4 linked regions of the Pelodiscus sinensis genome follow. The protein of the gene in region 3 purifies or fractionates together with the protein of the main gene of each other region. This does not show direct contact. Links are inferred from orthologs where the notes say so. Each region holds a gene or a part of one and is shown on either strand. Other genes may lie near its edges. The genes, in order: VTI1A, VAMP3, STX8 and VAMP7.

The links.
Region 1: the proteins of STX8 (region 3) and VTI1A purify together in Homo sapiens (affinity purification with mass spectrometry; 3 studies listed by BioGRID and IntAct, with this or other methods). This does not show direct contact. The link is inferred for Pelodiscus sinensis from reciprocal best matches to the Homo sapiens genes STX8 and VTI1A.
Region 2: the proteins of STX8 (region 3) and VAMP3 purify together in Homo sapiens (co-immunoprecipitation; 3 studies listed by BioGRID and IntAct, with this or other methods). This does not show direct contact. The link is inferred for Pelodiscus sinensis from reciprocal best matches to the Homo sapiens genes STX8 and VAMP3.
Region 4: the proteins of STX8 (region 3) and VAMP7 purify together in Homo sapiens (affinity purification with western blotting; 3 studies listed by BioGRID and IntAct, with this or other methods). This does not show direct contact. The link is inferred for Pelodiscus sinensis from reciprocal best matches to the Homo sapiens genes STX8 and VAMP7.

What each region holds. Positions count from the first base shown.
Region 1 is NC_134718.1:65,668,057-65,676,056, forward strand, and holds the start of VTI1A (vesicle transport through interaction with t-SNAREs homolog 1A), read right to left. Parts: upstream 3,003-8,000; 5' UTR 2,654-3,002; coding exon 2,560-2,653; intron 1-2,559. Other genes in the region: palmitoyltransferase ZDHHC6, read left to right, coding at 4,237-4,503, 6,205-6,296. UniProt on the Homo sapiens protein: V-SNARE that mediates vesicle transport pathways through interactions with t-SNAREs on the target membrane. These interactions are proposed to mediate aspects of the specificity of vesicle trafficking and to promote fusion of the lipid bilayers.
Region 2 is NC_134733.1:25,559,000-25,566,858, reverse strand, and holds the start of VAMP3 (vesicle-associated membrane protein 3), read right to left. Parts: upstream 3,009-7,859; 5' UTR 2,818-3,008; coding exon 2,816-2,817; intron 1-2,815. UniProt on the Homo sapiens protein: SNARE involved in vesicular transport from the late endosomes to the trans-Golgi network.
Region 3 is NC_134730.1:2,580,649-2,588,536, reverse strand, and holds the start of STX8 (syntaxin-8), read left to right. Parts: upstream 1-4,885; 5' UTR 4,886-4,917; coding exon of another isoform or gene 4,918-5,017; coding exon 5,018-5,034; intron 5,035-5,296; exon of another isoform or gene 5,297-5,419; intron 5,420-6,983; coding exon 6,984-7,083; intron 7,084-7,888. UniProt on the Homo sapiens protein: Vesicle trafficking protein that functions in the early secretory pathway, possibly by mediating retrograde transport from cis-Golgi membranes to the ER.
Region 4 is NC_134723.1:279,411-286,548, forward strand, and holds the start of VAMP7 (vesicle-associated membrane protein 7), read right to left. Parts: upstream 3,007-7,138; 5' UTR 2,848-3,006; intron 1-2,847. Other genes in the region: DNA-directed RNA polymerases I and III subunit RPAC2-like, read left to right, coding at 6,740-6,778. UniProt on the Homo sapiens protein: Involved in the targeting and/or fusion of transport vesicles to their target membrane during transport of proteins from the early endosome to the lysosome. Required for heterotypic fusion of late endosomes with lysosomes and homotypic lysosomal fusion.

The sequences.
Region 1 (8,000 bases), on a different chromosome or scaffold from region 3:
GTGCAGGCTGAGTCCAGAAGTGGTGCTCTAATGAGTGAAGCCAATTCAGGAAAATGTCTCGTAGATATAATTGCCAGGTTTCAATGTTTTATTCTTCCATCGGCATCCAGACAGCATCATGATGGTTCCTATGGCGACATCTCCTCCAAAGCCACCTGAACAATTGTCAATATATCTGGAGCACCCTGTTTGTATTAACAATGGTCAGAATCATCCCTCTCAGCAATGCTTTCTCCATGCTGCCTAACAGCAGTTTGAAAAAAAAAAAAAAGAATGTTTTTGGAAGTTCAGTTTGAAAATGAAACTGACAAGATGTCTATCGCCTCCACTGCTAACCATATGCAGATAAAAGTCAACGGTATCTCACTTCTGTGCACACACAATCAGCACAGTAATAAGGATCTCACAATGCATACAAGACATTTACATGGACAGTGCAAGTGATGTCAAAAGAATGTAAGTATACTAGATTATGGTCATCTCATCTTAACAGGAAAATTAGTAAGAAATTAGCAGTTTCTGATTATTAATCCAGAAACCGTGTAAAATGGTCTCCATTATAAATATCGGTAGCACATGGCTTTCAACAAGCTTGCTCTGCAACTTCTTAATTATGGTTTACCAACAAAAGCCCTAAATCTTAAAAGTTTTCTATGTTAATCTTCTATCCTTAATTTTAGATTGTAAACAGTAATATTTCACCAAGAAAATTGAAGTTTAGAACAACTTGCTTTGATTTTTGTAATGTCATTGGAGAATGGCTAGAGAAATACATTAATCTTCTGGGAATAAATGTCAATTGTTCAAATAGAAAGAATATGAAAATTAAGTCATTTTAGAGTGTAGTTTTACCCTGAGAAGTGACTAAAGAAGAAATCTGCCCCATGAATGTGTTCAGGTTTATACTTGCTTAAGACGATATGTTTTTAATTGTATTTTACTCCCATCTTACTCTGTTTTCTCCAATTCTTATGATGTACCTATCACCACCATAGCCCTGCAAAGACATCACAATGATAAGAGAGCTGTCTGCAGTTCTCAGGAAAATAATGCTGAACCAGTTTATATGTAGCACAGGTCTTCACAGATTCAACAATTCTTTTATAAAATGGATTTTAAATCAAAGTTGAATCTGGCAAAAAAAAAAATGACAGATTCAGCCCCCACTGCTCTCACAACTAGCAAATATATTTTTCAAGTCTTGAAATAATTAATCCTCACAAACGCCCACATGAAGAAGGCAAGCAAGATTCCCTCTCTCAATTCAGAAAAAAGCACACCCAAAGAAAACTGAGAAAGAGGTCAAGAGATTGTTTGCCTACAAATACGCAGCATGCCAGGGGAGATGTATTAGAACTCAGACAACAGACAGTGTTGAGAATATGTAATGGTTTTAGCACCTATATGCTAGAGTTCTAGAAAAGCATTATTAGTCAGGGGATAGTGTCTTTTATCTCAAGCAGTCAGACTATCACTTGTATATTCTTGATTCACACCCTAAGAGGGACAGAATTCTTAAACACCAAGGAACTTTAACAAAAAAGATGAAGTCATCAGCTTTTATTTCCTAATGTATTTCTCCAATCATCCTCCAATTAGTTAGAAAATTAGAAAAAATCAAATCAACTTCTTGTACTGTGATAGCATCACTTCACAGATTAGGATCCTATTGTGCTAGATGCTGTACAAACACCGAGCAAAGTCTTGTTGAACAAAACATTCTATATCAAGAATAAAGTTACACTTTGTTACAGAGAAGATGAAATAACAGGGCCCTCAATGGTCTCTGCTAGCCTTAAAAAAATGCATGTGTCCATGGTTATGGAAATACCTTCCCACTTGTGAATTGAGAGCAAAATGAGCTACTGTTCACTTCCTGACCCCTACAGACTGCGTTCCAGAACATCTGCTGCTGCTCAGACTTCCACCCACTGAAGATGTTTCACCTGTATCTCCACCTTATTAGCTGGCATGAGGTGGAAAGGAGGACAGGACACTCCAAAGCAAGACTGAAGTGGGGCCTAGTATGAACCCCCAGCTAGCTAGTGGTAGAAAGTGATTCGTATATCACCCCCCTCCAGACCATCTCAACAACCTCTAGATACCAAGATGTCCAGCACACTCGCCCTGGCACTGAAAGTAGCACCTAAGCAGGGCCCCTCCCCTTCCTCTTCTCAGTGGAGGCCAACATCTCTGTCTCGGCACCAGCCCTCCTTTGCTCCTCACCTCAGCACCCGCTCCAAACCCCTGCACCAGCCCCCCCCTATCTCCGACCCCAGCACCCCCCCCCCCCAGCCTTCCCCTGCTCCCCCCCCAGGGATGTGACTATTAACCAGTAAGCCCCACTCTTAACAAGTGGAGATCACCAGGTAGGGAGAACAGGTCCAGGCAGGAGCAGCTCCCCACCTGCAGCCGGGGGGGGGGGGGGCAGAGCAGACGTGAGCCGGGGAGGCGGCTTCTCGCCCGTTAACCGCTTAGGAGACGAACCGAGAGGTTTGTCCAATTAGCCACGTGACGGATTTTACCCCCCGCCCCGCGGCTCGCAGCCCCCGCACGCACCGCCCAGCAGCTTGGGCACCTTCCCGATCCGGCCCGTGACCTCCGCTGTCAGCACCGCGAAGTCCTGCTCGTAGCCCTCGAAGTCGGAGGACATGGTGGCGGCCGGGGACCACAAGCCGGGCTCAGCTGCTCTCGGCCAAGAGGCTTCCGCGTTGTGTCGCAGCCAAAAGCCTCCCCCTCGGAATCGGCAGCCGCCGCCGATGGTTCCGGCCGGGACTCGGTTCTGCCGCCGTCCCTTGAGAGCTCCAAGCCGCCCAGATCTTCCCTCCTCTCCCCCCCTCACTCCCTCGCGCTGCCCTCCGGGCCCTGCGCAGGAGCCTCCGGTGACTAGGAAGAGCCGAGTCCCGCCCTAGCCCAGGGCCCGTTCGCCACCTCCGCCCAGTGTCTGTCCGCTAAAACTCCCCTGGTGGGGGGGGATACGCGCCCCCACGAGCGGCGCCGATTCAACCCCCGGCAGCAGGTTTCCGGGGGGACCCACTTCTGAGAGAAACCGCCAGGCCCGGACAAACATGAAGCGAGGGCGGAAGAGACGCGTTTGTTTCCGGGTCACAGGCGCGCGCCTCCCGGAAGTGCTGGCAGAGGGGCGCGCCGCGGGGCATGGCTCGGCCGGGGATGTCGGAGGGGCTGAGGTGAGCTGGGGAGGGGCCTGGCGGAAGGGCGGCTACACGGGCTGAGGTGAGCGGGGGGGGGGAGGGGAAGGCTGAATCTGGAGCCTGGTGGGGAGGTCCCAGGGGGATCCAAGGCGGTGGGGGAGGGGCCGCTGCAGGGGGAGCGGTGGGGAGGCGAGGCCAGGCCCTAGTGGGACTCCTGCCCGGGCCGGGCTCAGAGCGCTGCCCTGCTGGCGCGCGGGAGGGGAGCCCAGGCAGGAGGCTGCAGGGGCCCCATGCGCTAGGGGTGGGGGCCGAGCAGACACTGACTGTGGGACCGGGACCGGGGCTCGATGTCTTCTCCCGGTAGCCTGACCTGACGAGAGTAAAACTCTCAGGGCGTGGGGAGGGGCCACCTCCTCGTTTCGGCTGCTGCCGCCGCTGCATATAGTCGCAGAGCCTCTCTGGCTCTTCCAAGAGCGCTTTCCCACAGTGGAAATACTGTCAGCCGGCTGCTGGCCTCCTGTTGTACAGGGACTGAGTTAAGAACCCTGCCATGCGGTTTTAGCAAGAATTTCCAGTTCTCCTGATGTGGTCTTTCATGATTTTTAACTGATATTTCTGCACTGTTTTATTTCGTTTAAAAAAAAGTATAAAAAGGCACCTATGCAAGGATCTAGGTCTGTTTTTATTAATATCAGAATACAAGCCAAGCAGTGTGAAACGAATCATTTCACAAGAACCTAGTTTAAGTGACAACACAACTTCCTGGACTGTGCATTGAACTCTTTTATTGCAGTTGACTTACAGAGCCTGTTTTGTTTTCCTTGATTTAGAAATTCTCCTGTTTTTGTGTTTCTAGGTCGAGGATAGAACCAAGTTGTCCTCCTGAGATGGATGTGAATTGCTCCTACAACTGATGACTCTTCCAAACATTAGAAATGTCTTGATCACAATTAACTATCTGGTATTTGTAGGGATGACCATTATTGAAGATGAAAACTTATGACAAATGGAAAACTGTAATCAAAAATAGGAAAATTAGGAACATTGAATACTATTTGAAGTAGGACAAGTACTCTTCTTCAAAATGGGTGCACTGTGTTCAGTTATCAAGTTTGAGAATCTCCAGGAACTGAAGAGACTTTGTCACTGGGGCCCCATCATAGCCCTCGGTGTGATAGCAATATGTTCTACTATGGCTATGATAGATGCTGTTCTGTGGTATTGGCCTTTGGACACGACGGGAGGAAGTGTAAATTTCATCATGCTCATAAACTGGACTGTCATGATTCTTTACAATTACTTCAATGCCATGTTTATTGGCCCTGGATATGTTCCTTTAGGATGGAAACCAGTAAGGAAATACAGTAAACTTTCACTAATAGTTAATTTTCATGATGAAATCTTAATATTGATCTTTGTTAATAGTTCAGTAATTCAGAAATTATATTCAAACCTCGCTTGCTTTGTCAGTACAGTTTAAGTAATTCTGTGAAAGTAGCATGTCGTAAACCAGGATGTCAAACTCATTAGAAGGAAAGGGCTGGATTCTGTTGCAGTATGGTCAGTGGGTTGGTTCAAGATCCGTATACTTGTCAAAATACGTCCTTTGATGTCAGTAGAAGGTTTGTACAAGGAGGAGAATATGGTTTTATGTAGTAATTAAATATTTGGTTATTGTTTGTTCAGTGCTTTCTTTTCATAAAGCTCAATGAGAAAATCTATCCTTTGGGCATCCACTAGCTCTGCCTCTTGTTCCTCTTCCTTCACCATCAGCCTTTCTGTTTTTGTCCTCTTCTGTGTTCTTAGCTCTGAATTTCCTTCCCTCCATCAACTCCCAGTTTCCAATCCATTGTGTGTCACTTCTGCCTTTTGTCCCCATTTCATCCACTAAAATGAACAGTGGTTAAATAATTAATGTTGACTCGGTGGTGGTGGTGGTGGTTTATTGTTGGTACTCCAATCAGATTAATAGAGAATGGTGGTATTCTCCCCTTTGAGCCATTGTTTCAGGCTGTTTGTGCATGCACACAGATGTCACTGTATCTATTACACTTGGTTCCCATTTGCAAAATTATATACCGTTGTGAGCACTAGTAAGCCAAGCTTTAATTTAAAAAAAAAAAAAAGGTTCTGGCAAATATGAATGTCGTGTGGGCCATATGGATACATCAAGAGGGCTGGATGCAGCTCCATGGGCCATTTCTCAACACTTTTGTAAGCGTAGGAGGTTGCATTTCTTGCGCTGTCAGTTTTAACAATCTCCTCGAGCTAATTCAAAAAGTATTCACACACAATGGAAGAGCAGCAGTACATTTGAAAGCAGTCGGCCAGAATCTTTTTCACCAGTATGCCAGTGGGATGGTAATGGTTCTGGCTTTACAGTGCTTTGCAATAGAAAGATGAGGGAGGGAACCTAAGGCTGTCCTAAGGGTAGCTGGGCATTCCACTTTAAACAGGGAAATCACTGACTGTATGCCACCCCAGTCTTCTGGCCCCTCCTACTGCTGTAGAGAGCATATTGGGTTGACAAGGAGGTTGGCTAGAAATCTTTGTGTTCTTGATCACTGGTAACATCAAATATCTTTAAGGGCCATAGCCTGTTGGCATAAATTAGAGCAGCCCTAAGGCTGCTTTAACTTCCTCTGGAGTACAATTAGGTCCAAGGCTGAGAGAAGAAAGAGAAAAATAGATGCATAAATAGAAGCAAATTTCTAAGGAGTCAACCCTGCCAGTTATTCCACAAAGGTTGACCTGTACAGGGGCTGCTTGTGCAGAGTAACTTTCAGGCTGAGGGCCTAAATTTTTCAGATGGAAATGTATTTCTTTTGTAAGGCCCCGCAATTAAAAAGAGTTAATTGGAATAGTAGCTAGAAGTTTTGCTGATTTCTCTCCTACGCCTTTCTGCCATTTAAAAAGGGTGAAGATAAATCACACCCAGACAAAGCAAAGCACAAAAGCATTATAAAATTGCTTAGGCTACTACACTTAGGCTAGTGCTTACTCTGCTATTGGAATTGTGTTGTTTCTCATATGCATCTTCTTGTGCTTAAAGGAAAAATCTCAGGACTGCATGTATCTCCAGTACTGTAAAGTGTGCCAGTCATACAAAGCACCACGTTCACACCACTGCCGAAAATGTAACAGGTACAGTTTTCTTTGTGTTCCTTTTTTTTCCTGGTCTTAAAGCAACTTATTTTTTAATGGTGGATTATTATTATTTATTTGGTGTATTGCACTGTGCAGGTAATTCCATGTTCAAAACACTATGCTAATTTCCAATATTGGACTACATTGCTTGAAGGAGGAAATGGATTTCCCTTACTGTTTTGACAATAGAGAGCATATGGGCTTAAAACCATTATCTTTAGATATGCTTATTTTTAAAATTCTGAATAGTAGTTCCCCCTAAGAATGTTTTAAATAATAAATTATCTGTGTAGTGAGGTGGGAAGACAAAAGCACTTAGTAAATATCCATCTCTTGGTTGACCACCTCAAACTCACACCTCTACTTTTTAGATAAAGAATGTTGATTTCAACAAAGGCCCAATTCTTCCATTTTTATACCTGGATAAAAAGTAAATGGAAATCTTGGGCTGGAAGCTTGTGACATCTTTTTAGGAAGCAAGAACTGAACTTATTGTAAGCATATCCAAAAGCCTCCTGGTTCAGCATAATAAACCTATAGTATAAACTTTCTAAGTGACTGTGAACTGGCACTTGATAAATCTTTCAGTTGCTTTGTTTTGAGTTTAAATAGTTTTGTTAAACCGCAAATAGCTTCACTGGAAGAGAATATGGTGTGAAAAGATGCACAAACACTTCTAGTTGTTGGAGGTGTAAATGGTTAACCTGTAGCAGCTGGGCTACTGTGGGTAGGGGGCTGCTCCAGTCTAGCAGGGCTCACCACAGACAGGGACTGCTCTGGCCAGCCGGCTGAAGCAGCCCCTCTCCATGGCAGGCCTGGCCTGGCCTCACTTCAGGTTAAACACTGGCTCCCTGAGAACAGGCCAGCAGGAGTTGCTTGCCCCACTCTTGGGGAGCCAGCTTTGTTGCAGCTGCAAAACCTCGCTAGGAGGAGGTCCAGGAACCAGATTTGCTGTATACTTCAGATCCTACAGAAAAGCCTCCCCAGGAGCAGGGCCGGCAGTCCTTGCCAGCCCCACTCCCAGGGAGGGTTCGCTGCGGGCTCTGCAGTATAAAGCTTGCTACAGGGTCCACAGAGCGGGTAACCCTATAACCACTAGGATTTTTAGCAGTTAGAGTTACATTTTTAAATGACTTTTTACATCCCTATTAGCGATCTGCTGTACAGTATGTATATACAGTTCTCTTGTTTAGTTCAGCAGTGCCTGATCTGAAAACCATTTGAGAACGTAGAAGAAGGAAGTTACTTCATTCTCATAGATTTATTTCTGCTCCATCATTGTGTCATTACAAGAAGTAAGGAATCTGAAACTGAGGAACAGCAGCACTATAATTTGTATATACATCAGTATATGCTTCCTTTTTTAAAAATGTAAAATTAGACTCCTATCTACAAGTTACTGTTTTTTCCAAGAACTGTTGATTTTGAAAGAGATGATAGAAGTTATGTAATATTTGCTTTAACTATGTTGTTCTGTTAACAGTTAACCTTTCATATAACCACATATTTGAAGAATTTAGGCTATCAGTATAGCATACTGAACTTGTTCATAGCTTGAGTGCAAATGCTGAGCTTTTGTAAGGTAAGGGAACTAGCAGCAGAAAATAGACTAGATCCATTATTTCAAACTAGTTATCAGAAAAAAAAATGAAGGGGAGGAGGGAGATGTGACTTGTATGTGCAGGTTTTCTAGAAGCTTTA
Region 2 (7,859 bases), on a different chromosome or scaffold from region 3:
CCAGTTCAGCCACCCTGTCCTCCAAAGCCCGAACTCGGTCTCTGAGGGTCAGGAGCTCCTTGCAATGGCTGCACACATACGCCACCTGCCCACAGGGCAGGTAATCGTACATGTTACACTGGACGCAATAAACAGGATAGCCCCCACTCTGCTGCTGGGCTTCTGTCTCCATGTTTGTAATGAATAAGTTTAAGTATAAACTGGGATTCTTTTTAAACTTCTGGAGTATAGATTATTCTAAGAGTTAGGTTTTAAAGAAGGACACAAGTCACTAGTGCCCTCTAAACTCCCTCTCCAAACTCTCCTGTTACCTGTTCCTGGTCATGCTCTCCCTGGTCGCTGAGTCACAGGCTTATATAGCTCTGGTAGTCCCTCCCCCTGCCTGAGGCTCGGCCAATTAACAGAGGCTTCTAGATTTCAAACCTTTTAGAAGCTCCTTCAAACAAACAAACCAAACAGACAAACACAAGCTCAGCACACTGCAAACTCCCCCCCACACAAACACACACTCCAGACAGCCACTTACCACAAGAGTCCCGTTTTTACTCCTCTTTTACCTGGAGAACTCCCTCTCCAAACTCTCCTGTTACCTGTTCCTGGTCACGCTCAACACAATTAGTTGATAAGGGAAAGCACTACCCCACTCTGACTCAATTAGCCTCATTTTACACAAGTACCCTCGTTTGTTGTATGTGTGCAAATTGTGTGTGCATATATCTACACACACACACACACACACACAGCCCCTCCCTCAGTAAATTCCACTCCAATACATCTGATGAAGTGAGTTTTACCCATGAAAGCTTATGCCCTAACAAGTCTGTTAGTCTCCAAAGTGCCACAGGAATCCTCAAAGTCACTATAAACACCCTGCGGAGGCCAATTTAGAAGATACTCCATCACACTGTGACATTTTAAAAACAACACCAAATTACCATGTTTAATTCATAAAAGAAAACAGCACAAAACCAAAAGAAAACAAAAAATCCCCACAATACCTCTCCCTCAACCAGCTAGGCCAAAGAAACAAAAGGCTATACCTTTCTTTTGTTTAAAAGGCTCCCTCACTAGCTAGTGGCTCAGATGAATGCCTTTGTTTATTTCACAGCCATCAGTCATGGAGTCAAAGCAGAACCAGAGTTTACACCATCTCTGCACACTATCTAGAAATAAAGACTTTTTTGACTCAGACTTTAAGGTCAGAAGGGACCATTATGATCATCTAGTCTGATCCCCTGAACAGTGCAGGCCACAGAATCTCACCCACCCCTCCCAGAATAATCCTCTCACCTAGATCTCAGATATTGAAGCCTTCAAATACTTTGAAGGCCCCAAGATGCAGAGAATCCTCCAGCTGTTATCTGTGCCCCATGCTACAGAGGAAGGCGAAAAACCTCCAGGGCCTCTGCCAATCTACCCTAGAGGAAAATTCCTTCCCGACCCCAAATATGGCGATCAGCTAAAGCCTGAGCATGTGGGCAAGACTCACCAGCCAGACACCCAGAAAGTTCTCTAGAGTAACTCCTATCATCCCTCCATTGGCCTATTCCCACTGATAATGAATGGTCAATTAGTTACCAAGATCATGTTCTCAAACCAACCCCTTATCATAGAACTGGAAGAGACCTCAGAAGGTCATCAAGTCCAGCCCCCTGCTCTAGGCAGGACCAATCCCATCTAAATTTCTGTCACCCTAATACAGGGGCAGGCAAAATATGGCCCAGAAAACTGCAAGATCCGACCCAGTACCATGCTGTGGACTAGCAGGGGCTTCAGGCAGACTCCCTGTGCGCTGCCTCCACCCAAGTTGCTCAAAGTGGCTGGCTGTGGTGGGGGCCACCTGCCCGTGGCCCTTGCAGCTGACCACAAGGGCCCGGCAAGTAGGGAGCCTGCCCGTGTCCACTTGGCTGCAGGCCAAGAGCAGCCACCTAAATGAGGCACCGTGTAGCCCGAGCCTGGCCCCCCCCAGACGCGCCCCCCCCATGTAGCCCGAGCCTGGCCCCCCCCAGACGCGCCCCCCCCATGTAGCCCGAGCCTGGCCCCCCCCAGACGCGCCCCCCCCGTGTAGCCCGAGCCTGGCCCCCCCCAGACGCGCCCCCCCATGTAGCCCGAGCCTGGCCACCCCCCCAGACGCGCCCCCCCCATGTAGCCCGAGCCTGGCCGCCCCCCCAGACGCGCCCCCCCCGTGTAGCCCGAGCCTGGCCGCCCCCCCAGACGCGCCCCCCCCATGTAGCCCGAGCCTGGCCCCCCACAGACGCAGCCCCCCCCGTGTATCCCGAGCCTGGCCCCCCCCACGCGCCCCCCCATGTATCCCGAGCCTGGCCGCCCCCCCAGACGCGCCCCCCCCATGTAGCCCGAGCCTGGCCGCCCCCCCAGACGCGCCCCCCCCATGTAGCCCGAGCCTGGCCGCCCCCCCAGACGCGCCCCCCCCCATGTAGCCCGAGCCTGGCCCCCCCCAGACACGCCCCCCCATGTAGCCCGAGCCTGGCCCCCCCCAGACACGCCTCTCCCGTGTAGCCCGAGCCTGGCCCCCCCCAGACGCGCCCCCCCCCGTGTAGCCCGAGCCTGGCCCCCCCCAGACGCGGCCCCCCCCGTGTAGCCCGAGCCTGGCCCCCCCCAGACGCGCCCCCCCCCGTGTAGCCCGAGCCTGGCCCCCCCCAGACGCGGCCCCCCCCGTGTAGCCCGAGCCTGGCCGCCCCCCCAGACGCGCCCCCCCGTGTAGCCCGAGCCTGGCCCCCCCCAGACGCCCCCCAGCAACCGCCGAGAGCTGGGCGGCCGCAGGGCCCGTCACACCCTCCCCGGGCCCCGCACTCACATGGCGGCGGCGCGAGCCTCTGCGGGGGAGTCTAACGGCGCGAGGCGACACACAGCACTGCACCGGAAACCGCCGCGGGGCAGGCGGGCGCGGTCCGGATGTGACGGTTGGGGGGGCGGGGTCGGACACGCCCCGCCCCCAGCCCCGCCCACCGACTGCTCCCGAACATCGCGTGCTCGCCGCGTGCGCCTGCGCCTGCGCCTGCTGCCTTGGGCACTGTAGGGGCAGGGGGCGGGGGCTTCGGGCTCCTGTGTGTCCCGGGGGGGGTGGGGGGGACAGGCGGGGGCGGGTGTCTGTGTGTCCCCGGGGGGGGGGGGACAGGCGGGGGCGGGTGTCTGTGTGTCCGGGGGGGGACAGGCGGGGGCGGGTGTCTGTGAGTCCCGGGGGGGGGGAACAGGCGGGGGCGGGTGTCTGTGTGTCCCCGGGGGGGGTGGGGGGGACAGGCGGGGGCGGGTGTCTGTGTGTCCCCGGGGGGGGGGGACAGGCGGGGGCGGGTGTCTGTGTGTCCCGGGGGGGGGGACAGGCGGGGGCGGGTGTCTGTGTGTCCCTGGGGGGGGGAACAGGCGGGGGCGGGTGTCTGTGTGTCCCGGGGGGGGGAACAGGCGGGGGCGGGTGTCTGTGTGTCCCGGGGGGGGGGACAGGCGGGGGCGGGTGTCTGTGTGTCCCGGGGGGGGGAACAGGCGGGGGCGGGTGTCTGTGTGTCCCGGGGGGGGGAACAGGCGGGGGGCGGGTGTCTGTGTATCCCGGGGGGGGGAACAGGCGGGGGCGGGTGTCTGTGTGTCCTGGGGGGGGGGAACAGGCGGGGGCGGGTGTCTGTGTGTCCCGGGGGGGGACAGGCGGGGGCGGGTGTCTGTGTGTCCCGGGGGGGGACAGGCGGGGGCGGGTGTCTGTGTGTCCCGGGGGGGGGACAGGCGGGGGCGGGTGTCTGTGTGTCCCCGGGGGGGGGGGGACAGGCGGGGGCGGGTGTCTGTGTGTCCCGGGGGGGGGAACAGGCGGGGGCGGGTGTCTGTGTGTCCCGGGGGGGGTGGGGGGGACAGGCGGGGGCAGGTGTCTGTGTGTCCCGGGGGGGGGAACAGGCGGGGGCGGGTGTCTGTGTGTCCCCGGGGGGGGGGGACAGGCGGGGGCGGGTGTCTGTGTGTCCCCGGGGGGGGGGGGACAGGTGGGGGCGGGTGTCTGTGTGTCCCGGGAGGGAGGACAGGCGGGGGCGGGTGTCTGTGTGTCCCCGGGGGGGGGAACAGGCGGGGGCGGGTGTCTGTGTGTCCCGGGGGGGGGAACAGGCGGGGGCGGGTGTCTGTGTGTCCCGGGGGGGGGGAACAGGCGGGGGCGGGTGTCTGTGTGTCCCGGGGGGGGGAACAGGCGGGGGCGGGTGTCTGTGTGTCCCGGGGGGGGGGACAGGCGGGGGGCGGGTGTCTGTGTGTCCATGGGGGGGGGACAGGCGGGGGCGGGTGTCTGTGTGTCCCGGGGGGGGGACAGGCGGGGGCGGGTGTCTGTGTGTCCCGGGGGGGGGAACAGGCGGGGGGCGGGTGTCTGTGTGTCCCGGGGGGGGGGACAGGCGGGGGCGGGTGTCTGTGTGTCCCGGGGGGGGGAACAGGCGGGGGCGGGTGTCTGTGTGTCCCGGGGGGGGGGGAACAGGCGGGGGGCGGGTGTCTGTGTGTCCCGGGGGGGGGAACAGGCGGGGGCGGGTGTCTGTGTGTCCCGGGGGGGGGGAACAGGCGGGGGGCGGGTGTCTGTGTGTCCCGGGGGGGGGGGAACAGGCGGGGGCGGGTGTCTGTGTGTCCTGGGGGGGGGGGAACAGGCGGGGGCGGGTGTCTGTGTGTCCGGGGGGGACAGGCGGGGGCGGGTGTCTGTGTGTCCCGGGGGGGGACAGGCGGGGGCGGGTGTCTGTGTGTCCCTGGGGGGGGGAACAGGCGGGGGCGGGTGTCTGTGTGTCCCTGGGGGGGGGAACAGGCGGGGGCGGGTGTCTGTGTGTCCCGGGGGGGGGACAGGCGGGGGCGGGTGTCTGTGTGTCCGGGGGGGGACAGGCGGGGGCGGGTGTCTGTGTGTCCCGGGGGGGGGAACAGGCGGGGGCGGGTGTCTGTGTGTCCCGGGGGGGGAACAGGCGGGGGCGGGTGTCTGTGTGTCCGGGGGGGGACAGGCGGGGGCGGGTGTCTGTGTGTCCGGGGGGGACAGGCGGGGCGGGTGTCTGTGTGTCCGGGGGGAGACAGGCGGGGCGGGGTGTCTGTGTGTCCGGGGGGGGACAGGCGGGGGCGGGTGTCTGTGTGTCCGGGGGGGGACAGGCGGGGGCGGGTGTCTGTGTGTCCGGGGGGGGACAGGCGGGGGCGGGTGTCTGTGTGTCCCGGGGGGGGACAGGCGGGGGCGGGTGTCTGTGTGTCCGGGGGGAGACAGGCGGGGGCGGGTGTCTGTGTGTCCGGGGGGGGACAGGCGGGGGCGGGTGTCTGTGTGTCCGGGGGGGACAGGCGGGGGCGGGTGTCTGTGTGTCCCGGGGGGGGACAGGCGGGGGCGGGTGTCTGTGTGTCCGGGGGGGGACAGGCGGGGGCGGGTGTCTGTGTGTCCGGGGGGGACAGGCGGGGGCGGGTGTCTGTGTGTCCCGGGGGGGGACAGGCGGGGGCGGGTGTCTGTGTGTCCCTGGGGGGGGGAACAGGCGGGGGCGGGTGTCTGTGTGTCCCGGGGGGGGGACAGGCGGGGGCGGGTGTCTGTGTGTCCGGGGGGGGACAGGCGGGGGCGGGTGTCTGTGTGTCCCGGGGGGGGACAGGCGGGGGCGGGTGTCTGTGTGTCCGGGGGGGGACAGGCGGGGGCGGGTGTCTGTGTGTCCCGGGGGGACAGGCGGGGGCGGGTGTCTGTGTGTCCGGGGGGGGGACAGGCGGGGGCGGGTGTCTGTGTGTCCCTGGGGGGGGACAGGCGGGGGCGGGTGTCTGTGTGTCCCGGGGGGGGGACAGGCGGGGGCGGGTGTCTGTGTGTCCGGGGGGGGACAGGCGGGGGCGGGTGTCTGTGTGTCCCGGGGGGGGGAACAGGCGGGGGGCGGGTGTCTGTGTGTCCCGGGGGGGGAACAGGCGGGGGCGGGTGTCTGTGTGTCCCGGGGGGGACAGGCGGGGGCGGGTGTCTGTGTGTCCGGGGGGGGGACAGGCGGGGGCGGGTGTCTGTGTGTCCGGGGGGGGACAGGCGGGGGCGGGTGTCTGTGTGTCCGGGGGGGGACAGGCGGGGGCGGGTGTCTGTGTGTCCGGGGGGGGACAGGCGGGGGGCGGGTGTCTGTGTGTCCGGGGGGGGACAGGCGGGGGCGGGTGTCTGTGTGTCCCGGGGGGGACAGGCGGGGGCGGGTGTCTGTGTGTCCGGGGGGAGACAGGCGGGGGCGGGTGTCTGTGTGTCCGGGGGGGGACAGGCGGGGGCGGTGTCTGTGTGTCCCGGGGGGGGGACAGGCGGGGGCGGGTGTCTGTGTGTCCGGGGGAGACAGGCGGGGGCGGGTGTCTGTGTGTCCGGGGGGGGGACAGGCGGGGGCGGGTGTCTGTGTGTCCGGGGGGGACAGGCGGGGGCGGGTGTCTGTGTGTCCCGGGGGGGACAGGCGGGGGCGGGTGTCTGTGTGTCCGGGGGGAGACAGGCGGGGGCGGGTGTCTGTGTGTCCGGGGGGGGACAGGCGGGGGCGGGTGTCTGTGTGTCCCGGGGGGGGGACAGGCGGGGGCGGGTGTCTGTGTGTCCGGGGGGGGACAGGCGGGGGCGGGTGTCTGTGTGTCCCGGGGGGGGACAGGCGGGGGCGGGTGTCTGTGTCCCCTGGGGGGGGGGACAGGCGGGGGCGGGTGTCTGTGTGTCCCTGGGGGGGGGACAGGCGGGGGCGGGTGTCTGTGTGTCCCGGGGGAGGACAGGCGGGGGCGGGTGTCTGTGTGTCCCGGGGGGGGGACAGGCGGGGGCGGGTGTCTGTGTGTCCCTGGGGGGGGGGACAGGCGGGGGCGGGTGTCTGTGTGTCCTGGGGGGGACAGGCGGGGGCGGGTGTCTGTGTGTCCCTGGGGGGGGGGACAGGCGGGGGGTCGGGTGTCTGTGTGTCCCTGGGGGGGGGACAGGCGGGGGCGGGTGTCTGTGTGTCCCGGGGGGGGGACAGGCGGGGGCGGGTGTCTGTGTGTCCCGGGGGGGGGACAGGCGGGGGCGGGTGTCTGTGTGTCCCGGGGGGGGACAGGCGGGGCGGGTGTCTGTGTGTCCCGGGGGGGGGACAGGCGGGGGCGGGGTGTCTGTGTGTCCGGGGGGGGGACAGGCGGGGGCGGGTGTCTGTGTGTCCCTGGGGGGGGGACAGGCGGGGGCGGGTGTCTGTGTGTCCCTGGGGGGGGACAGGCGGGGGGCGGGTGTCTGTGTGTCCCTGGGGGGGGACAGGCGGGGGCGGGTGTCTGTGTGTCCCGGGGGGGGACAGGCGGGGGCGGGTGTCTGTGTGTCCCTGGGGGGGGACAGGCGGGGGCGGGTGTCTGTGTGTCCCTGGGGGGGGGACAGGCGGGGGCGGGTGTCTGTGTGTCCCTGGGGGGGGGACAGGCGGGGGCGGGTGTCTGTGTGTCCCTGGGGGGGGACAGGCGGGGGCGGGTGTCTGTGTGTCCCTGGGGGGGACAGGCGGGGGCGGGTGTCTGTGTGTCCCTGGGGGGGGACAGGCGGGGGCGGGTGTCTGTGTGTCCGTGGGGGGGACAGGCGGGGGCGGGTGTCTGTGTGTCCCGGGGGGGGGACAGGCGGGGGCGGGTGTCTGTGTTTCCCGGGGGGGGGACAGGCGGGGGCGGGTGTCTGTGTGTCCCGGGGGGGGGACAGGCGGGGGGCGGGTGTCTGTGTTTCCCGGGGGGGGGGACAGGCGGGGGCGGGTGTCTGTGTGTCCGGGGGGGGGACAGGCGGGGGCGGGTGTCTGTGTGTCCGGGGGGGGACAGGCGGGGGCGGGTGTCTGTGTGTCCCTGGGGGGACAGGCGGGGGTCGGGGGACTGGCGGGTCCCGGGGGGACAGCGGGGCGGGTGTCTGTGTGTCCCTGGGGGGGGACAGGCGGGGGCGGGTGTCTGTGTGTCCCGGGGGGGGGACAGGCGGGGGCGGGTGT
Region 3 (7,888 bases):
TCTTCCCGGTGCAGCCTGTGATGCCAAGAGGCCGACCTGGCCACCTTAATCCCTTCCAGGACTGTGTGGGGCGAGGCGGGGTCCGGTGCATGGGGCACAGCAAGACCTAGCCACAAGGGCATGAGCACCAAGCAGCAGCCCGTGCTGAGATCAACAGGTGCTGCGGGGAGTCTGTACACACGGCGGCAGAAAATGCCTCTTGTCATTGCAGCTGAAATCCTGCCGTAATAGGCTTGTGCTAGGGCAATAAAACGTTTCTCTCCGTGGCCCCCAGTAGCTTCTGGAGCATCAATACCCACGGGAATAGCTGGCTGTATTTGCAGCATGAATCGTACAGGGAGAAAAGGTGCCCAGCAGATCTTGCATGATAAATCCCCCACAATCTTTTAGGGCTTTGTTCCTAGGTGACTAGTTTATTGGAAAGACATTGGCTCCAAGAGGGCCTGGAGAAACTGCTGTTGTACAGCGTAGACTCACTTAGCTTAGCCGAGTTCCCCCGCGTAGGCCCCCACAGCCAAAATATTTATGGTGTCAACATTCGGCTGGGTCCTGACTTCCTTATAGCCCAGCCCTGCCCTCCGCCTCCAGTGAAAACTCCCACGCTTTGCAGAACTGGAGGAGCACCCAGAGCGCCAGTTGTGGGGGGCAGGGGTCACAGAAGGAGGAGTACTCTCAGGGCATTTGGCTGTGGGAGCAGGGAGAGCCCACAGTCCACAAATGGCGCACTACCCGAGGGCTTTCCGGGGAGAAGCTGGGGGAAGGTACGGAGGGAAAACAGGTGTGTGTGGGGGGGGGGGGGCGGGGGGAGGGCAGGGGCCTGTCAGGTTTGCCAGCTCACAGAGCTGTCACTCAATAGGTGTTGCCCTTCTGCCGACTGTTGGTGGTACAGTGTTAAGAGGCTCTCCAGGTCTGGATGTCAAAATATTCCATTAATGGTAATTATCATAAGATCAGGAGTTCAGACAAGTGAAAACATGTTAGCTTGTTGCTCGTGCAACAGGATCAAGGTGGGAGAGGCTGGCTGAAGCCGAGGAGCCGAGTGTCTCTAACCTGAGCCCCTCCATTAGTAACACTCTTATTTGCTGGGTGCCCTCGGTGTTCTCAGCACAGTACAACACAGGGAGGAAGACACAATTCCGGGCCCAAGGAGCTTTGGGAGATCGGGTGCTTCTGTAAGTCGACAGACTTGCAGCGTGGCTGCAGCGTGCGCTGGGGTTGAGCACAAGGTTATCCCCTTATACCAGTGCTCCTTTGTGGGTGCCTGCGGGGGGCATGGTGGTGGGGAGTGCATTTTAAAAAGAAGCAAGAACATCCGAAGCTGCGCTGCAGCATGACCTCGCTGGTAATCTCAGCTCGCCCTTGTGCTCATGTGGCCCGCTGGGGAGTGCAGAAGTGCCTGGATAAGGGTAAATTATCGGAGCCAGCATTATTTAGTTAATAGTAACAAGAATAAGTCAATAACTTTTCCTGTGACACCTCTCACCGCAAAGCATGCCACATCGGGGCAGTGATACATTTAGGCTACGTCTACACTGGCAGCTTCTTGCACAAGAACTCTTTTGCGGAAGAGTTCTTGTGCAAAAACTCTTCCAGAAGAAAGCGTCTACACTGGCAAGTGCTTTTGCGCAAGAGCATCCATGCCAGTGTAGACGCTCTCTTGCGCAAGAAAGCTCCGATGACCATTTTAACCATAGGGCTTTCTTGCGCAAGAAATTCATGTTGCCTGTCTACACTGGCCTCTTGCACAAGAACAGTTGCACTAGAGGGCTTATTCCTGAGCGGGAGCATCACAGTTCTTGTGCAAGAAGCCCTGATTTTATACAGTAGAACATCAGTTTACTTGCACAAGAACACACGGCTAGTATAGACAGGCAGCAAGTTTTTGCGCAAGAGCAGCCACTTTGGCACAAGATCGCGTCAGTGTAGACACAGCCCCTATGTTACTGAATGGAGTCCTGGAACCCGGTTGTTGTTTGTCAATAAACAGTAATGCAACACAAGCAGTTAACACATGGCTGCTTACTCTCATGCAGAGTCGTAACTGGACTTTTCAATCAATAGTAATTTCAAGTGGGACTTAAGGAGGCAGAATGCAGTTACCCACAGCAGGGTGTAACGAGCAGGACAGAGTAAAACATCTCTTGCCTGTCAAAACGTCTCATGGGATCCTTAATGAGTCCAAGCAGTCAGATGGCTGGTTTTATAGCTCACCAGAAAATAAAGCAGCTGCAGCACCAGCCTGCAAACAGCATCTGGGGCATCTACTGCTGAATAGAAGAAAACCAGTCACTTTGGTGGTTCAGAGCAAACCCCATTTCCATTGCTTTTTGGTGGTGTAATGCCAGGCATGAATTTAGTCCCAGGAGTTTAGGTGCTCTGGGATGATCTGTGAGCAGGGCCCTTCTGGGATTTTGTATTAACCTGGCATTTGGGGCCAGTCAAAAGATAAATGAAATAGATTGATCATAAAATACTAGACGTCATTCTTAACCGGTAACATCTATCTCACGGACTCTGACCATGCCGCTGTAATGGCTAGGGGATTTCAGTAGTTCTTCAATTGGATGTAACTGTTTGTAAGTGGAGAACACAGCCTGATTTTCTCAGGTAGAAAGGCCTGTTTCACAGCTCTATGAATGCTGCATTCAGAACTTCCCACTACCACTATATTAGTCCTTGGGTTTTCTCCATATTATCATAATTGCAGTCAGAAGCCGCAAATCACATCAGGGCTCTCCTGTGCTTGTGTGCTGTACAAATACTTAGGAAGAGACAGGCTCTGCCTAAAAGTGCTTACAATCTAATGTAAAGTTGTGAACATTATACATCAGCCATACACATTTAAAAGCAACAATCACAGATACATTTCTCCCCCAGATCTTACAGCCAAGAGCAAGGTGAAAGGTGGCCTTTTACACAAAAGGGTCAAAGTTTGTTTGGAGTGTTTCCATTAAATTAAAAAAAACAAGTGGAAACAGTTTTATTAAACAAATAAACATTCTCGAGCAATGTTTGCAACACAAACACTGCTGCTTTGTGCAAGCACATTGTGCAAAGCCACCCCCTCTGTCGGTGACCAGGCAGAAGACCGTGTCCCTGCCTGTCGGACTTGGCCACTGTGCTTCTGTGGTGTCTAGTCTTGACCACTGTAGATCTTTGGATGGAGTCCTATGCCCTAGCAAAACTACAGCTAGCTCAGAATGCAAGTAGCTCACCTGCTTGCCAATGCGTGTTGCTGACTGTACATCTTCCTGCTGCGTATGCTGATTCCTCGCTCAGCACAGAGTCTACTTGAAGGTCTCCGGAGAGGGGGATCTGGCTGCCTAATAGAACAATTCTTCCTCTACAGCTCCGAGACTGTCAACCCCAAGTCTTCAACTATCATGAGTCAGTCCCCCACCCCCAAACTAATGAAAAGGTTGAAAAATATCTGAGTTTAAAAAAGGAATTTTTGTTTTGCCTTCTGGTTTTTGAGCCCATAGAAATCATCTTTGCAAGCTTTTGTCCTTGTTGCATTCAGAGCTAAATGCCAACCTCACCTCTTCAGTGAAGCCTTCCTCCCTCTCAGGCTTTTATATTTGAGTCCCCTCTTGCTCTTAAACATTTTAATCCTGCTTCTTACCAGCAGGGAAGGAAGAAATATTGTTACCAGTATTTTACTTTTGGTTGATACTCTGCTATTATGGGGAAAAGTGCCAATATAAGGCAGATATTTCAAGAGAACCGGCCAGTGATAAGGGCTAAAAAACAAATGTGAAATTAATTAGTATAGTTTCACTGTCCCAAACTGCTCTCATTTAACTGTTAGCGGGAGCACTAGGGCTAACTCCCGTACTGCAGGAGCACGTGAAAAATGAAGTGATCTCTAAGGGCTTGTCTACACTGGGAACTTTTTGCTACAAATTTAATCTCTTACTGCTCCCAGAGATTGGGGCAGTGGGTGGGACGAGCGTAGGCAAAACGTGCATTTTCAAAGCTCTGTGTTGGAGACCTGCTCTGAACAGAGCTGGATGATACAGTGCTCCAACCCCTGAGGCTGGATAGGGCTGTCCAGGCTAGTCCCTCCATTGCTACAACCAAAGGAGCAGAAAGGGTGAAGCATCAAAGAGAAAATCTAGTAGGCACTTGCCTGGGGCCTTATTAATGGATTTCAAAGTCACCGTATTATTTCAAACCAATTTCAAAAGCCAGCTCCACGGGAAACTACAGAACTTAATTTCAGTTCCAGGTTTGATTCCTACAACAGTCTCAACAAAGACATTGGCTGGATGGCCCGCTGTACTCCACATCCTAAGGACATACAAACAAACAAAGAGAGTACTTAGCACTTTTATCAGCTTCATTTAGCATGGACAGGCTAATTGATCATTTCTTTCCCTTTCCTCTCCCCCCCCATCTGCTCTCTGTGCTGTTTATTTGAAAACTGCACCCACCCCTTGAACTCCGTTCAGCTGAAGAAGCGGCTTGTGCCCCCGGAAGCTCACGATGCCCGTCTACGTGTTTGTGTTAGTCCCTAGGGCCCAGGAAAGCTCAGCACCCAACAAACCCCCTTGCTGGTCTCTATGGTGCTACCTGGTCCGGTTTGTTTTCTAACGTGTCCCCAGTTGGACCAAGGCGGCCTGGCCCGTTGTCTGTCTCCAGGGGCGCGTGTGCTGAGCGCCTGACACCGGCCCGCCCGCAGGGCGCTGTGCCTGGGGAGGGGGGGGGGGCACTGACCCCCCCGAGCCTGGGGACTTTGTGCGCTCCGGTCCCGGGGGGGGGGGTGAAGCACCAGCGCGAGCGCCCCAATGCTGGGGGGGGCTGAGCCTTAGGGGCTGGGGCGGCACCGCCGCGCCTCGCTCCGCCCCCCCCACCGGGCTGCCACCCGCGGGGGCGGGGCCTGGCCGGGTGTGGCTCCGCCCCCTGGGCAGGACCCGGATGTGCCCCCCCTCCCCCGCCGCGCTGAGCCTCTGCGCCTGCCGTAGGCAGCTGAGCCAGCCCGGAAGCGGCCGGCTCCAGAGCAGCCCCGGGCGCAGGGATGGCTCCGGACCCCTGGTGAGCGGCGGGGGCGGGGGGTTGTGGGGCCCGGACCCCCCCCGTTCGGGGCCCATTGCGGGGGGAGCCCCCCCGGCATGCGGGGCCCCCGCGGCCTCGGCTCCCGCTTCGCGCCTCAGGGCGGCGCGCCCGGGGGGAGGGGGCTCCTGCGGGCGGTGAACGGGGCCGCCCCGCCCCCGCCCCGTGTGCGCCGAGCCCGGGAGTCCCCCCCCCCCCGCCACTCCGCGTTGCTCGTCTCCGCCTCGCCGGTTCCGACCCGGGCCCGACCTGGGCAGACGCGCGCGGCTCCTGAAGGGGCGCCGGGTCCGGTACCGGCAGAGTCTGCGGGGAGCCCGGCACGTGACCGGACACGAGCCCGTTCCCCTCTGGCTGCCGCTGTCCGCAGGTACCGCACAGAACAGACAAACCCGCCCGCTCCTGCCCGTGGCTCCCCTCCCCAGGGGTGCGAACCGCGCAGAGCCCGCTCCTCCCCCGCACGCCCAGCCTGGTGTTGGATGGCCCCGAGGTGCGTGCCTTGAGGCAGGCATTTTGCAGCCTGTTCACTTGGACCCTGCGCTGCATCCTGGTCCTGGCTCCTTTCCCTTCTGCATCTGCGGACATGCTGATCGTGGCTGCACGGCCTCCTCTCCCCAAATGCTGGTGGGGTCTAGCACCTTGGCCTGGCTCTACGCAGGGATCTCCTGATGCACGGAGCAGGCATGGCCAGCTAGAGGGGTGTGCTGAGAACATACTACCCCAAGCAAACAGGAAGGAGACTTTACATTTTCAAAAAACCCTGCAAGGGCGTGTCCTGGCCGTCTGAGCAGGGCAGCAAAGTTCAAACATGACTAGAGAGGCCAGAACAGGCCTGGTGGGAAGGGTGCTGGGGACCAGTACTAACTACACAAGTACATCACCACTTAAATCCTGTGCTGAGAGGTACATTCACTGGTCCTGTGCTTTCATATCGTCCCTGTGATGGGCCCATTAGAAATCCCTGGGGAGATAGGGGTTGGGTGTCACTATAGTATGTTTGCATTTAGTAACTTGCTGAACTCTCTCTGAGGCTTGTAGCAGGCGTGTAATCCCCCTCTGTCCTGGGATCTGTAGTAATTCTGACTGTTTGACATGACACCACCTAGCCTGTGTGTAATCCTAGATTGTCGGAAGCACTCCTACCGGTATCTTGGTTTTGGTTTTAAGCAGGCCTGTTTCTTGCATCTGCTTTGTGTTTAGCTTTATCCTAATATTTCAAGGACTGAGTGGTTTTTTTGAGTGATAAACTCCCTAAACTGTGGGTGGGCAATAATTTTCTCAGTGGGGCCACACCATGAATTTTGGTAAGTTGTCACAGACCACATGTTTCTACTCTCTTAATGAAATTACCTCACCATCTATTGTTGAAAGACCCCATTATGCGCTTCATGCACCAGAGCAATTACACTTAGTTACCTGAATACACGTGTATCCAAAGCTTGTCTTACAGTTTGCAATATAAATTGCCTTCTAATAACACTAATGCTAAACTTTTACTTACAGCTTCTGTTCATTAGTAAAATTAAGTGTAAACGAAAAAAGGAAATTTTGTGAAGAAGAGAATCTCTAATGGGCATTAACAAGGGAGGTGAAGTCAGCTGTTATCCAGAGCAAGGTTGGGGGGATCCCGGAAGGGATGATGCCTTAGTAGGAAGGGTGGGGGTGCTAGCCTTCCCCAGCCAGTTCTTCAGTGCCTCCTGCCCTCTGGTGGCAATTTAAAGGGCCTGGTGCTCCAGCCCCTGCCATGGTAGCAGCCAAAGTAGTTTCTTCAATTGCCAAGAGTCAGGTGGGCTGGACAGAAATGTCAGACGGTCTATATTTTGCCCATCCCTGCCCTAAACCCTTGATTGAGAGAAGAGACTCAAACCAAGATTCTCGACACAGAGATGACTGGAGAGAATTATCTTAGCTATCTGAAAACATTCTGTTTACAGGCTGTCGATGTACGATTCCACCTGTTACATTGCACAAGAGATTGCTGAAAAAATCCAGGAACGTAACCGATGTCAAAGAAATGGTGAAAATTCAACTAAGGTATCCTATGTTCCTGAAAGAGCTAGTATTTGTAAACATCTCTTTTAATTTAGGTTTTCTAGTTAATTCTATCAAAATTGGGTACCTTTCTGGAAGAGAAGGCAATTCAGTATTTTTCACCCACTCAGTATACACCAAGTCCTGTCAAGATGTAAGCACATGCACAGTTTTACAGACTCAAAGGGGAAGTTAGCTTGTGGTTTATTTTGCGTTGTGTGTCGCTTCATTACCTATTCTTACTATTCTGTGTGTGTTAAATGTTAAGCAAATAAAGCGTTGGCATCCCAAAGAAATTGGCTGTGTCTAGACTGGCAAGTTTTTCCACAAAATCATCTGCTTTTGCGGAAAAACTTGCCAGCTGTCTACACTGGTCACTTGAATTTCCGCAAAAGCACTGACGATCTCATGTAAGATTGTCAGTGCTTTTGCAGAAATACTATGCTGCTCCCGTTTGGGCAAAAGTCTTTTCCGAAAAACTTTTGCGCAAAAGGGCCAGTGTAGACAGCAGAGATTTTTTTCCCGCAAAACAGCCCTGATCGTGAAAATGGCAATCGGGGCTTTTTTGCGGAAAAGCGCGTCTAGATTGGCCACAGACGCTTTTCCGCAGAAAGCGCTTTTGCGGAAAAGCGTCCTGCCAATCTAGACGCGCTTTTCCTAAAATGCTTTTAACGGAAAACTTTTCCATTAAAAGCATTTCTGGAAAATCATGCCAGTCTAGACGTAGCCATTGAGTCAAGCTGAGTGAATGCCTTTTACTCTCCTTTCCTTGCCGGCATCATACTGCACTGCTGTTTGCGATGAGAGC
Region 4 (7,138 bases), on a different chromosome or scaffold from region 3:
TCCCCGGCCCTCATCCAGCTTCCTCCTACCCCCCATACCAACCCTGCCCCCCCTCGTCCAGCTTCCTCCTACCCCCCATACCAACCCTGCCCCCCCTCATCCAGCTTCCTCCTACCCCCCCATACCACCCCTGCCCCCCCTCGTCCAGCTTCCTCCTAGCCCCCCCATACCACCCCTGCCCCCCCTCATCCAGCTTCCTCCTACCCCCAGTAACACCCCTGCCCCCGGCCCTCATCCAGCTTCCTCCTACCCCCCATACCAACCCTGCCCCCCCTCGTCCAGCTTCCTCCTACCCCCCCATACCAACCCTGCCCCCCCTCGTCCAGCTTCCTCCTACCCCCCCATACCAACCCCGCCCCACCTCGTCCAGCTTCCTCCTACCCCCCCATACCAACCCCGCCCCACCTCGTCCAGCTTCCTCCTACCCCCCCATACCAACCCCGCCCCCCCTCGTCCAGCTTCCTCCTACCCCCCCATACCAACCCTGCCCCACCTCGTCCAGCTTCCTCCTACCCCCCCATACCAACCCTGCCCCACCTCATCCAGCTTCCTCCTACCCCCCCATACCAACCCTGCCCCCCCTCGTCCAGCTTCCTCCTACCCCCCCATACCAACCCTGCCCCACCTCGTCCAGCTTCCTCCTACCCCCCCATACCAACCCTGCCCCCCCTCGTCCAGCTTCCTCCTACCCCCCCATACCAACCCTGCCCCCCCTCGTCCAGCTTCCTCCTACCCCCCCATACCAACCCTGCCCCCCCTCGTCCAGCTTCCTCCTACCCCCCCATACCAACCCTGCCCCCCCTCGTCCAGCTTCCTCCTACCCCCCCATACCAACCCTGCCCCCCCTCGTCCAGCTTCCTCCTACCCCCCCATACCAACCCTGCCCCCCCTCGTCCAGCTTCCTCCTACCCCCCATACCAACCCTGCCCCCCCTCGTCCAGCTTCCTCCTACCCCCCCATACCAACCCTGCCCCCCCTCGTCCAGCTTCCTCCTACCCCCCCATACCAACCCTGCCCCCCCTCGTCCAGCTTCCTCCTACCCCCCCATACCAACCCTGCCCCCCCTCGTCCAGCTTCCTCCTACCCCCCATACCAACCCTGCCCCCCCTCGTCCAGCTTCCTCCTACCCCCCCATACCAACCCCGCCCCCCTCATCCAGCTTCCTCCTACCCCCCATACCAACCCTGCCCCCCCTCGTCCAGCTTCCTCCTACCCCCCCATACCAACCCTGCCCCCCCTCGTCCAGCTTCCTCCTACCCCCCATACCAACCCTGCCCCCCCTCGTCCAGCTTCCTCCTACCCCCCCATACCAACCCCGCCCCCCTCATCCAGCTTCCTCCTGCCCCCCCATACCACCCCTGCCCCCCCTCGTCCAGCTTCCTCCTGCCCCCCCATACCAACCCTGCCCCACCTCATTCAGCTTCCTCCTACCCCCCCATACCAACCCTGCCCCACCTCATCCAGCTTCCTCCTACCCCCCCCCATACCACCCCTGCCCCCCCTCATCCAGCTTCCTCCTACCCCCCCATACCAACCCTGCCCCCCCTCGTCCAGCTTCCTCCTACCCCCCCATACCAACCCTGCCCCCCCTCGTCCAGCTTCCTCCTACCCCCCCATACCAACCCTGCCCCCCCTCGTCCAGCTTCCTCCTACCCCCCATACCAACCCTGCCCCCCCTCGTCCAGCTTCCTCCTACCCCCCCATACCAACCCCGCCCCCCTCATCCAGCTTCCTCCTGCCCCCCCATACCAACCCTGCCCCCCCTCGTCCAGCTTCCTCCTACCCCCCCATACCAACCCCGCCCCCCCTCGTCCAGCTTCCTCCTACCCCCCCATACCAACCCCGCCCCCCCTCGTCCAGCTTCCTCCTACCCCCCCATACCAACCCTGCCCCCCCTCATCCAGCTTCCTCCTACCCCCCATACCAACCCTGCCCCCCCCTCGTCCAGCTTCCTCCTACCCCCCCATACCAACCCTGCCCCACCTCATCCAGCTTCCTCCTACCCCCCCATACCAACCCTGCCCCCCCTCATCCAGCTTCCTCCTACCCCCCCCATACCAACCCCGCCCCCCCTCATCCAGCTTCCTCCTACCCCCCCATACCAACCCTGCCCCCCCTCATCCAGCTTCCTCCTACCCCCCCATACCAACCCTGCCCCCCCTCGTCCAGCTTCCTCCTACCCCCCCATACCAACCCTGCCCCCCCTCGTCCAGCTTCCTCCTACCCCCCCATACCAACCCTGCCCCCCCTCATCCAGCTTCCTCCTACCCCCCCATACCAACCCTGCCCCCCCTCGTCCAGCTTCCTCCTACCCCCCCCATACCACCCCTGCCCCCCCTCATCCAGCTTCCTCCTACCCCCCATACCAACCCCGCCCCCCCTCATCCAGCTTCCTCCTACCCCCCCATACCAACCCTGCCCCCCCTCATCCAGCTTCCTCCTACCCCCCCATACCAACCCCGCCCCCCCTCATCCAGCTTCCTCCTACCCCCCCATACCAACCCTGCCCCCCCTCATCCAGCTTCCTCCTACCCCCCCATACCAACCCTGCCCCCCCTCATCCAGCTTCCTCCTACCCCCCCATACCAACCCCGCCCCCCCTCATCCAGCTTCCTCCTGCCCCCCCATACCAACCCTGCCCCCCCTCATCCAGCTTCCTCCTACCCCCCCATACCAACCCCGCCCCCCCTCATCCAGCTTCCTCCTACCCCCCCATACCAACCCTGCCCCCCCTCGTCCAGCTTCCTCCTACCCCCCCATACCAACCCTGCCCCCCCTCGTCCAGCTTCCTCCTACCCCCCCCATACCAACCCTGCCCCCGCCCCACCCCGCCCCGCCCCCTCTCACCTGCGCCGCGGCCTCGCTCTCGGGCAGGGGGAGTCTCCAGCCCCGCGCGCTCTTCACCTGCCTCCTCCTATCGCTGGCCCCGGCCTCCGCTCCGCGAGCACGTGCACTTCCGCCGAGGACGCGCCCGTGGCCGCCGAGCCTCACGGGAAATGTAGTCACTTGCGCGGGGCGGAGCCACTTCGCCCGAGCCGCGCTGTACGTTGGGAAGCCCCCCCCCCCTGCCGCTCTGCATGCTGGGTAGTGTAGTTCTGAGGCGAGCTCGGAGAGCATGGCTGCTCCAGCTGTTGAGCTGTCACGCGCCTTCTGGGGAGACTCACCCGCAGCCGCCAATCGCAGCCAGACTCCAATTCGAAGTCACTGTCCTGTGGCCATAACGCGCCACAGGGCATCCAGACTGAAAGTCACAGTCACAACTGAGTTCAATCCAGACTGAAAGTCACAGTCACAACTGAGTTCAATCCAGACTGAGTCACAGTCACAACTGAGTTCAATCCAGACTGAAAGTCACAGTCACAACTGAGTTCAATCCAGACTGAAAGTCACAGTCACAACTGAGTTCAATCCAGACTGAGTCACAGTCACAACTGAGTTCAATCCAGACTGAAAGTCACAGTCACAACTGAGTTCAATCCGGACTGAAAGTCCCAGTCACAACTGAGTTCAATCCAGACTGAAAGTCACAGTCACAACTGAGTTCAATCCGGACTGAAAGTCACAGTCACAACTGAGTTCAATGCAGACTGAAAGTCACAGTCACAACTGAGTTCAATCCGGACTGAAAGTCACAGTCACAACTGAGTTCAATGCAGACTGAAAGTCACAGTCACAGCTGAGTTCAATCCAGACTGAAAGTCACAGTCACAACTGAGTTCAATGCAGACTGAAAGTCACAGTCACAACTGAGTTCAATCCGGACTGAAAGTCACAGTCACAACTGAGTTCAATGCAGACTGAAAGTCACAGTCACAACTGAGTTCAATGCAGACTGAAAGTCACAGTCACAACTGAGTTCAATCCGGACTGAAAGTCACAGTCACAACTGAGTTCAATGCAGACTGAAAGTCACAGTCACAACTGAGTTCAATCCGGACTGAAAGTCACAGTCACAACTGAGTTCAATGCAGACTGAAAGTCACAGTCACAGCTGAGTTCAATCCAGACTGAAAGTCACAGTCACAGCTGAGTTCAATCCAGACTGAAAGTCACAGTCACAACTGAGTTCAATGCAGACTCCCATCACTTCCAGCTCCCTGCGCTGCACTGGCCAGCAAGCAGCAGCATGTTCCCCAAATGTCTGTCAGACCTTCTGCTCTACCTCGCCCCTGAGAACAGGCCTGCACAGTGTGATGGAGATTCACAGCCTCTTGTTTTGAGGTGGGCAGCCCTGGTACTGTAGCATCTCACACAATGCTGTCTGCCAGAGGTGTAGTAGGACACTGTTCGCCTCTTCTGAATCTGCCCCATATTTCAGCACCAGTCATGCTCAGCTCATCTTTTTCTCTGACTAGCCCTCTGTGCAAGGATGATGTCTGCCTGCAGCATTCCCTGGTATAACCTTGGAGAAGTGACAGGTGTAACTGTGGAGAAGACACAGCTGTTGGCTGCGCTGTCATGGCCTTTCTTTCTTCCTTTGTCACTTTTCTCTCAAGAGTACATCTGTTCTTCCCAAAGCAAGCTTTGGCTTGGTGCATGGTGTTCTGTGTTTCACACCGAGTCATTTCAATTTGTTGGGTTAATGCATCCCTTTTTAACATGTACTTTCAATATATCTTTGAAATGCTTCTGCTTCCCTCTATAAGCCCTTCTTCCTCAATTTAATTGAGAGAAGGATACTTGTTTCAGGAGCAAAAGACAGGACTAGGCAGCACTTTAAAGACTAACAAGATGGTTTATTAGGAGATGAGCTTTCGTGGGCCCACAAAAGCTCATCACCTAATAAACCATTCTGTTAGTCTTTCAAGTGCTGCATAGTCCTGTCTTTTGTTTCAGCAAGACCAGACTAATACGGCTACATCTCTATTACTATGGTTTGAGGAGGTGAGTGATAGGCGTATTCAGAGTGGCCAGTATATCATGACCCGTGTTTCTATGCTGCTGATGTTGGCTAGAGAACACTGACATTAGTGCATTTGGCTTCTCAGCAGAATCTGAGAATGTTCCTGAGGCAGCACTGCTGGAACCATTCCAGTCATGTGGGATGTTTGTAGAATACCAAGGTTTCCTACAAACTGCTTTGTAAACCAAGATCTTACCTGTTTGTAGATAACCAACCCCTACCCATATTTAATTTAAATTTGCGTAGTCTTCCAAAAGATGTGCTGACACAGCAGAACCTGTATTCAATTTCTGTGTCAGTACCAGCTGTTTGGAAGAGGTGGCTGCCAAGGTACAGAAAACGATCCACATTTTCCAGAGGTTCTCCGCTGACGGTGATTTGTGGAGTATGAAGAGTAGTTTGTGCAGGGGAGGGCTGATGGGATACCTTTGTTTTCCCAATGTAGAGAGACAGACCCAGGGTGTGATAGATAACTGCAAAAAGATGTAGAGTGCTTTGCAGATTGGCTTCTGCGTGTGCAAGAATGACAGTCACCTGCATACTGATTAGTGATGCCATTTCTTTTAATCTTAGATTGTGTTTGGAGATATTGGAGATTGAGGAGTTGACCATCCATATGATACTCAATCCTGGTGCCATCAGGAAGGTAGTCATGGATGAGAATCAGGATCATGACAAGGTACATGGAGAACTGTGTTGGACCAATGACACCAACTACCGGGCATTTAAAAATGGTGGCGCCCGGGAACATGCAGATGAAAGCTGGGATATTTAAATCCCGGGCTTCATTTGCAAGTACAAATGACTACATTAGCCACTCTAGTTTGAACTAGGGTGGCTGGTGTAGACATACCCTAGTGATGAAAATGCATAGTTAGGTGCCAAGAACATAGCTTGGTGAGGTACTGTCCTTTAAACGTAAATTACTCTGTAATTTTTACATCTCTTCATTTCCTAATCCTGCTCTCACTGCACCTCTCACCAGTAGCCAGTGTCATACTAAACCTTGGCTAGCTCCTATGAATGCCTCTGAGTGGAATTAACATGGGACAGCAGCAGTGTTACCAACCCCAAGAGTTCAAACTTGAGCCAGGCCCCTCCAAATTATGAGACTGATTTAAAAAACTCAATTCACAAAATCACTTTTTTTGGTTTGGTTTGAAGATTTATAATAGCACATTTGGAGCTCTTTTTTTCTGGTTTTCAATATCACCACTCCTTGCAATTTTCCTGTGAGTGGCACAATATTTGGTGGCTATGTTAGCACCTCAGGTTATGGAATCAGATTCTTTCCTGAACATTTCAGCTTTCATTTGTTAAAAAAAGGTAAATTTTTGGCTCTTTTGGGTGCAGAGAAGAGCTCTAAATTGTGACCCATACACGTACCAGCCCCAGAAAGCAAACAAAAAGAAATCCAACTTTATTATTTTGAAATTTCATGATTTTTCAGCCAATCTCAAGATTTTAGGGGGAGGGGTCTTGATTCATTACTTTTAACACATTTTGAACCTTTTGGCTGCACTCAGGTCATATTTGCAAGCGTCTCTTCAAGAGAGGGCGAGGCACTGGAAGCTGACATTGGCGGGCAATTACACACCCCTTGGCGCTGGGGCATGACGAACTAGAACAAACCGAGACCGCAAGGAGCAGCCCTGCGCTGCCGTAGAGACCCGCGTGTTTATCGGGGCACGAGCTGTCCCGCGGGAAACCCGCCTCACGAGATGCCCAGGAGCGGAGATTCCCAGCGGGCAGCGCGGGGATGCCCGAAGCCCGCCGGCCGGGCTAGGACTACCCGTCCCAGAATCCCCAGCAGAGCCCGGCCCCCGCCAGGCAGCCATGGCCGAGGAGGCGCAGGGGAAGCCGGCGCTGGAGCTGGTGAGTGTCGCGGCCGGGCCGGGGCTGCCCGGCTGGATGCGGGACGCGCCGGGGGGTTCAGGCTGGTGGCCACGTGGTGACCCGCAGCCCGGGTCCAGCCCGCAGGGAAGGCGCGTGGCCTGTGCCCTGCGGATGGGGCGGGTCAGGCTCTGGGCTGGGGGCTGCCCCTGAGCAGAACGGCCCAGACCTGTGCAAAGCTGGTGCCTGGCGTGTGCCCCCCCCAGGGCACGTGGGTTCTTTTTATTTGCTTTCTGGGCTTTGAGCCTTTGGGGCTTATGCTCTCAAACGTCTCCCACTGCCTCTAGCGCTAGAGACATTACTCCTCACTTTAAAATGGAAACAGGTTCTCGCATGAATCTA